2 linked regions of the Neodiprion lecontei genome follow. The protein of the gene in region 1 binds, or shares a complex with, the protein of each later gene. Links are inferred from orthologs where the notes say so. Each region holds a gene or a part of one and is shown on either strand. Other genes may lie near its edges.

What was found.
Region 2: protein brunelleschi (region 1) and trafficking protein particle complex subunit 11 share a complex: the UniProt entries of both Homo sapiens proteins name them as parts of the multisubunit TRAPP (transport protein particle) complex. The link is inferred for Neodiprion lecontei from reciprocal best matches to the Homo sapiens genes TRAPPC9 and TRAPPC11.

What each region holds. Positions count from the first base shown.
Region 1 is NC_060260.1:38,738,791-38,742,720, reverse strand, and holds the start of protein brunelleschi, read right to left. Parts: upstream 2,506-3,930; 5' UTR 2,200-2,505; intron 1,889-2,199; 5' UTR 1,850-1,888; coding exon 912-1,849; intron 834-911; coding exon 560-833; intron 485-559; coding exon 286-484; intron 195-285; coding exon 1-194. Other genes in the region: 39S ribosomal protein L54, mitochondrial, read left to right, coding at 2,694-2,796, 3,120-3,424. UniProt on the Homo sapiens protein: Functions as an activator of NF-kappa-B through increased phosphorylation of the IKK complex. May function in neuronal cells differentiation. May play a role in vesicular transport from endoplasmic reticulum to Golgi.
Region 2 is NC_060264.1:3,294,708-3,298,637, reverse strand, and holds the start of trafficking protein particle complex subunit 11, read left to right. Parts: upstream 1-1,087; 5' UTR 1,088-1,470; intron 1,471-1,613; 5' UTR 1,614-1,664; coding exon 1,665-1,856; intron 1,857-1,973; coding exon 1,974-2,143; intron 2,144-2,218; coding exon 2,219-2,407; intron 2,408-2,494; coding exon 2,495-2,668; intron 2,669-2,839; coding exon 2,840-3,007; intron 3,008-3,139; coding exon 3,140-3,344; intron 3,345-3,418; coding exon 3,419-3,592; intron 3,593-3,687; coding exon 3,688-3,766; intron 3,767-3,841; coding exon 3,842-3,896; intron 3,897-3,930. UniProt on the Homo sapiens protein: Involved in endoplasmic reticulum to Golgi apparatus trafficking at a very early stage.

The sequences.
Region 1 (3,930 bases):
TTCACATTGCTGCGACACAGCTTGAAGTTGTAAAGCTGATTCCTTGCGTTCTGTAGGGCTCATATGATCATACATAGTCTGGAGCAAGAATGTCATGTGCCGAGTGGCGAGGGCTGGATTACCCATTCGCTTAGCGGCAACGACCAGCTCTTGTATGAGCTGAATTTGTAAAGTAGGCCAACCCCGCAAGCCATCTTGAAAAACCGGAGAATTAGTTAATAGTGAGACGTTTATACTTCCAGTTGTTGGTGGTTCAATTTAGTGAAAAGTTGTTCGCAACCTCACCAGAAGGCATTTCCACTGGATCAAGACTAAGCTTCAGCCCAGGTGCCGCTTGCAACATTAGATTATAACACTGCTGCCAATCAGGATTTGGATTATTTTGAGAAACATGCCTCGTAGCAGCTAGACGTAAACAGAAAGAGGCTTTGCGCGTGAAGCCAAAGGCAGTGAACAGTTCTGACAGTGTAGTGAAACGTTCAATCTGGAACAGAATATTTCCAACGTATTCAGCATTATCTCAAAAACATGCAATGAGTGGAAAACTGAATTTGCTTACTTTTTCATGCTCGCTAATGTTCAAATTGATGAATACAACATTATTGAGAAAAGAAGCTGCCTGCAAAGTGCAGTTTTGTTCTATAGAAATTCTTGTCGCCTTGAAACTTGCTTCCGTCTCAATTACCCCTGCGTTTTTGTGTTTGCTGTAGTGAACTATGGCTTCTCGATATTTTTTTGCAATTTCTTCAGGCGGTAAAATTTGCGGCATCTCAGCCTTGATCGCCTCTATATTAGGAGAAGGTGGCAAAGTATTCAAGGCCTGAGACTCCCTTCTGCAGATGAAAATGGGAATTCTTGATTACCTTGCAGACTTACTTTTCAATTCAACAACTTTTAAAACTTATATTTACCTTTGTTTCCCTGGACTACCTTCCTGCAAGGACGAATTTCTCTGTAAGGGAAGACTCCGACACATATTTGGATATAAGACTAGAACAGAAGCAGCACACAACCCCTCAAATGCAGCGCCGAGCCAGAGCCAATCCTTAACAGCTTGCAGAGTATTAGCAGCAGAATTGTAATGGTATAAAGCATCGGCAGGTAAGCCGGCCTGGAGGCAAAGATCTCCCAAGTGTTTGGTCATTCGTCCGACGCACCTCTTTCTCATGGTACCCGAGTCAAGGTCCAAACCAATGAAATCCTTCTTTTCAAACGGTGCAAGTAGCAAAGGAACACGGTCAACTTTTTCCCTGGATCGTTCAAGTCTTTTAGATTCTAGGATCCAAAAGAGAGAGTTTAGACATTCAGCAATTTGAGCTTCAAGGTCTGGGCAAGTTTCATCTGCGTAGAACAGCGCCCTTGTCTTAAAATTTGAAGGAGTCGTAAATGGTTTCGGTGGTTCATTTAAATTCTCAGATTCAACTGGTCCAAAAAGAATTGCTCTGGAATCGTAGAGGGTCGCGCTATATTTCACTTTCAAAGTTTCATGCAGTCTACAGAGCTCATCGAGCTCTGTCTGGCTGTCATATTTTCCTATAGTAATCAGGCCTAGGAGTCTTCTGTGCGTTTGAAATTCACTCCAATCGTTATTTTCAACTGGATGTTCCCTTACAAATCTGGCAAGAATTTCACGCGTTATACCGGTAGAATCAAGCACTGTAAATCTACTTCCACTCTTTATAATTCTCTCTCCTATTTTTGTTACTGTCTTCTGCTTCGTTTGAGTGCCAATTGGCTTCAATAGCAACAACAGTGCTGCGTGGTCGTGAGCTGTCTGCTCATAGTCGGGCTGAGACATCTTGTTGTCAGGCACCGAACTCGACAGAATTACACTGACTGCAGACCGCATTTATACCAACGCTACCATCAAGCAACAACCAAATGTGACCTGAAGACACAGAAAGTGGATGGTTTATTACATGAATGTTCAAGACTTACATCAATCTTCAAATATCATATTTCTTTGGTTTTGCTAGGTACACATGCACATTTTGGATAACCTTATACGGATTACAGAGAAGTTACTCTTGTTGTGTTTCTTTTCTTTTTCACTCAGTGTATTTCATTCATACTCGTGAAAACGCGAATGGAACATCTACAAGATTGACATAAATTCGACGAGTCAAAATTAGTCAATTCATAATTATTCCGCGCTGCTAATTTATTGCGAGAAGTTTTAACTTCCGAGTTTCTACCTACCTTAGCGGTGATCATTGTACAACGACGTGCAACGAAATTCAATTGATCAGAGCCTTAATTTATGGATCGGGAATTGCCGTTTGACAGCTTTCAACTCAGCTGACAAATAAAAGCTAGGTTAGGTCAGGTTGGGTGATATTAGTCAATAGCCGGTGTGAATTCAGAGTTTATTAGCGTTCTACAATGTTTACGTGATCAATGGATTTTGTATAATCGGACAAAAGGATGTTGTTCTGTCCAGATTTTCATTTCCACATAAATATAGTAATGAGAAATAAATTTATGTCGATGAACCAGATGGAATAGTCAAACTGTCAAGGCAGACTTGTGTCATATATGTACATAATCTTATTTTCACAAATCCGGATTCTATAACGAAGTGATTGTTGCACATACTCTCTAGTGTCAAATACGTACTCTACGGTTGTGTCCAATTGGTCAAATAGTTTGGTTATCTCCCACGAGGGTCGCGTGAGGGACACGATTGTGTTATCATGAGTCTCTCCTCGTCACTTTGTTTGCTTCGTTTAGGCAAAAATATTATAGTTCCGTCACAATATGTCGTGCAGATTAAAGGCTACGCGAAGGCAGATGCCGGTACGTATTAATGCATATCAACTCTCACATCTTTCATTGAAAATAGTTCCTCCGGAATTGTTTAGATTAGGTTAGACTAAGTTATGAGTTACATACGAACGGCATTTCGTGTTGCCAACCGACAGGTGAAAATATATCACGTGTTTGTCCCACAAGAGCGCGTATTTTAAACGTCGAATACTTTTCTCCTACCTTTCGACTGTTATACTTCGATATATCTACTTGATAATGGAAAACCATAGCTCTGCTTCTTTGATGTCAATTAATTGCGCAAGCAGTTAAAGTAAGTGCCATCTTTGTCCTATCTTCATTTCCTGTTTCAGGTGGTATGTTCGGAAAGGGGAAAAAAAAGCTGAAACTAAGTCAGCCGTTGGAGAGGAAGGTACTTCCAGTTGAAACAGATCCTGAAAAATTGGTAAAATTCGTGTGCGGAAGTAATATAATGAAAGAAGGACAGGACATTGAGATTAAGCCAGATTCTGAATATCCCGACTGGCTTTGGGACATACACATAGGCCCACCTCTTAAACTGGAAGAGCTGGATCCAGATACGAAAAAATACTGGAGGCGGGTGAAGAAAGCAGCCATGAGGAGGACCAATTTGATGGCCAAGTTGAAACCCTTCTAATGCTACCTTCGTAGTTTAGATTATACCGATTTCTTATACAATGTAAAAATAGATACTACATTAAGCTCTGTGAATGTTCGTGTACAGTAATAGTCAAAATAAAGATTCATAACTGACTTGAAACTTGTAAACACTCACTCCCCACTTTACGATTTTCAAGTATTATTTTGTACCAAAGTGAATCATTGACATTAGTACAAGTACACGTATGTAAGTGAAATAGGCCGGTCAAATTCTCAACCTTTTTGATTTCACATACTTTTTGTGATTCTCGTGAAAATATCGTAAATTCTGTTTCTGTATTCAAAGATGCGGCTATTTCTAGCGTTCTGTGCACTCTGTTAACCAATGCCAATGATTTTGAAACAGATTGGAGGACATACGTACATCACATACGTATGCGTACTAAATCTGGCTAAGTTGATGGTTTAATTATACAATGTGTTGAAATGAACACGTGATAATTAATCTGGAACCACAAATCGTACACCTATTTACAATCAGTG
Region 2 (3,930 bases), on another chromosome or scaffold:
GATCTTAAATGTATTTAATGGAAAGACCTACAAGATAGAACAGATCTTAGGTTTAACAAAAGGTGATGGCTATTTATGAAGAATTCTGATATACAATAGCAAGGATTGCAACAAAAGTAGATTTCTATCAGATTCCTTTTTTGGAAACAGATAATGCCAATGAACAATTTTTTGAATTGAAGAAACGTTGGTATAAGGAGTAAATTTATCTTAGCCATTTTCGAAATCGACTAATACCCAAAATCAATTTCAATTACCTTTTCTGAATTAATTTGGCCCAGAAGAATTCAAGAAAAAGTGTTCCAAACGTAAATGGACCAACACCTAAAGAAATACGAAGCAATTTTTCTGTTTTCGGTTGTAGTTTTCGATTCGTTGATCGCAATGGGTTGAGACTGTGCGCAAACGTTTTTTCTAGCAAAGCTACGTGTACATGGCGTCTCGAAAAATTTAGTCGCGTGTTTTTCGAAATTGCCAATTTGCGACCCGTTTTTACAAATTGGACCAAGAAACTCAACTGAAATAACGTACGGTTAAATGCTAATTATTTGAATTATTTGACTTTAAGGTTTCAGAAATTAACGCAGCGACTTGGGACTCATTTTCCAGCACCGTTTTCCGAAATCTATTCTTGGAAGAGCGTTGAAAATAATAATGAACGTATTTCGAAACGACGTGGTCTCTGTTGTTGACGTTTTATCGTAACAAAATATTGGAAAGAATTTACTATTTAGGAGTTTCCGATACCTTTAAAGACACTCAGATTTCAAAATATGATGTAGGAAGTTTGAAATCTACACACGCCAACGTTCCCAGATTAAAAAATCTGATCTCCACACCACTGATCTCTGTATTAACCGCGACACTGATCCAATGTATATCTATATCCGATTTTTTCATTTCGGATCATTCCGAAATATCCCACATGCCAGCACACATGTCAAAATACGTCCTATCTGTAGATGAAACGCCGTTTTGATGTAAATACTACAAATTGACAAGGTTGTAGTCGGGGTTGCCTGCAACGGGGCGTCGCAATTTCTTCCGTTGAGGCTGTCAACCTTAATTATTCCCAGAACCTCCGCAAATTGTGATGACCGTCAGGAAAGTGTATTTTAAAATTATTCGGAATCATATTTCTCATTTTTTGTGTGAGACTTGATCGGCTTGGGAGTTGACACAATCAATTCATCGTGGATAACAGATTCGTTCTTACTATAGCAGACGTTTCGCCAACGCTTGCGCGGTAGCACGCGATCTGTTACCCACGTATTTCGCATCTTTACTCCGCCCTGACACCGTAGCTGTCATCATTTGAGTTTTCTGTCACTCAAAAAAATCATCAAAACTAGTGGTACAGGGGTCTCTGTAGGGACCCGACAGCCAACTAAAAGACTTAAGAAAAAGAAGAAATCGCCAAATCCTGCATGAGCGCTGAGCCCAGTTTACGCGCAAACCATTCTCAAATAGGTTTAAAACACATTTTGTTAAGTGTGCCTATTTAGCCTAACCTCAATTGAAATGTCAAACTAAATAGATTTGATAACGTTTGAACTCAATAACTTATCACAGCTTTCAAATTGAGATATGTGACCCTTTTAATTTTACAACAGATTCTACTTGGGACTTCTGTTCTGTTATTCCTGGTTCTTGTCCATTGATCCATGTCAGAACTACCTGCAGAATTGACAGCAAAGCCCTTGGCTTTGATCGGTGTTACCGGATTGGATACAGTAAACAATGCGATTCACCGATTGATTTGGGATGCATTCAGCAACAATCGCCGGCCAGACAGTGCAGCTGTTCAGTTTAAAATATTAAGCAATGCCCATGAGTTTCCAACAGTTAAACCAAAGGTCTGTTGACATTAGATCACTCTTCGATACAACAACTCGAATATTCAAGTTATTTCACTAAGAATTTGTCCCCTTAAATTGAATGGCATGACGAATAACTTTCGATGTCTGCTGTAGCGTAACTCCTACGAATGGTACATACCCAAAGGGATATTAAAACGAAATTGGATGAATAAATATCTAAATGACATACCATCCGTCGTTGTTATATTTTATGACTTGGATTGGAATGATTCTATGTGGAATGAAAAAAAGATCGAATGTGCATCGAGAGTTCAATCCTTGAGGTACATGTATCAGATTATTTATTTGGTTACAAATCAAAATATATCTAAGTATAACAAATCTTCAAACAATTATAGAGCTGCTATCGAGGGTAGAAGTACGAAGATTGCTGTAGTTCTAATACAGCATGGAGCACCGCCACAACCAGGCGCTGAAGATGCTGCAACAACTGAGCGTGCTACAGCTTTGTGTGCTGCATGTGAATTGCCAGCTAAATCGTTATATGTCTTACCTCATGGCGATCACTTGTTGGGTTATACTCTAAGGTAGTTGCTTGAAATAATAAAGTGTAATACTTGTTGGTTGTGTGCTCAGCAAGTTTGAATAGGACTAATGACAATCTGTACATGTAGGTTGGAAAATGCCTTCTATGATTTGGCCCAAAACTTCTATCACCTGGAAGCCCGCATCGTGAAAAATCACAGAGATCACCTGAACAAGACTACACATCAATATTTGTTTGTCCGGCATCAGTTTAAGATGGGCTTTCTAAATGAATTGAAACAGGATCAGCACATGGCTCACAAGCAAGTTGTCATTATTTTTCATGTGATATTTCAATCTGGACACCTAATCAACACTAGTAAAAAAAAAAAAACAAGCTTGTTGAGAACTTCGAATCATAGCTAACACTTTTGTATTCAATAACTCAATTCGCGAACCAATCCCTTCTAATCATGCAAGTGTTTATTTCACAGGCATTATCAGTTGGCGTACAATAACTTGCTTGATATACGAATGGTGGACACAAATGCTTTGGAAATAAAGACTGTTGCAAGCTTCATAAATTACAAACTATGTCGTCTAATGTTCAACTTAAATCTTCCCCGTGATGCTATTTCGCAGTTTAGAGCTCACACAGATCGGTATGTATATCTTTACAATATAAAATTTTACATGTACGATTATCTTTCACCAATTACTAGTAGGCCTCAGTACCAGAAAATTGATTGCATTCAAAGGGAATATCATAACTCAAATTCCATATACCATTACAGTTTTAAATTGAAAGTTGGTCCCAAAGAACTAATGTTTGAACATCACGCGTGGATGTCAGGACAGTTCTCCACGTTTGCGGAATTATTTGATGAAGCCATCAGGCAAGGTCTTCCTGCTGTTCAAACTCAGCATCCAGGATACTACTTTCAGCTGGCAGCTCAGCATGCTACTTTGCGGCAAACAGCGTGCAGAGATCTTTGCAAAGTGAGCAGATATTTGACTTGGTTTATATTATTTCATCTATAATGAATCTAAACCTGTATTTGATTATGATTCAGGATGTTAATGAGTATCCCGAACCTGATCCTTTGGCAGGCCAAGACAAACTTGAATATTACGGTCAGAGACCATGGCGTCCAGGGAAATTGAGTGCTGAGCCTGCAGACATGGCACGGGAAGCAGCGGCTATTCAAGCTTTACAACACAAAGAGAAGACTACTGTCAACCATTCTGTAAGTCAATTAATTTCTCAGGAATGCTGAGAGATAATATTGTGATGCGTGTGATAAATTGGTAGCAGAAATAGTTGTTTATAATTTATTTTCAGATGATAATCATCGGTCTTTTAGGACATGCAATTTCCCAATTCAAAACTTATCGATGTCCAAGAATGCGTCGTCATTTAGGTTTGAATACTACCATAACTTTATGCAAATGTATTAATTTGAATATCACTGGCTTCTAAAGAATTAATATTTCAGTTGTACAAATGGCTGATGAGTATTACAATTCTCGAGATTACGGGAAAGCACTCACGTAAGTTTATACGACTGCCTTTGAAGGCTTATGC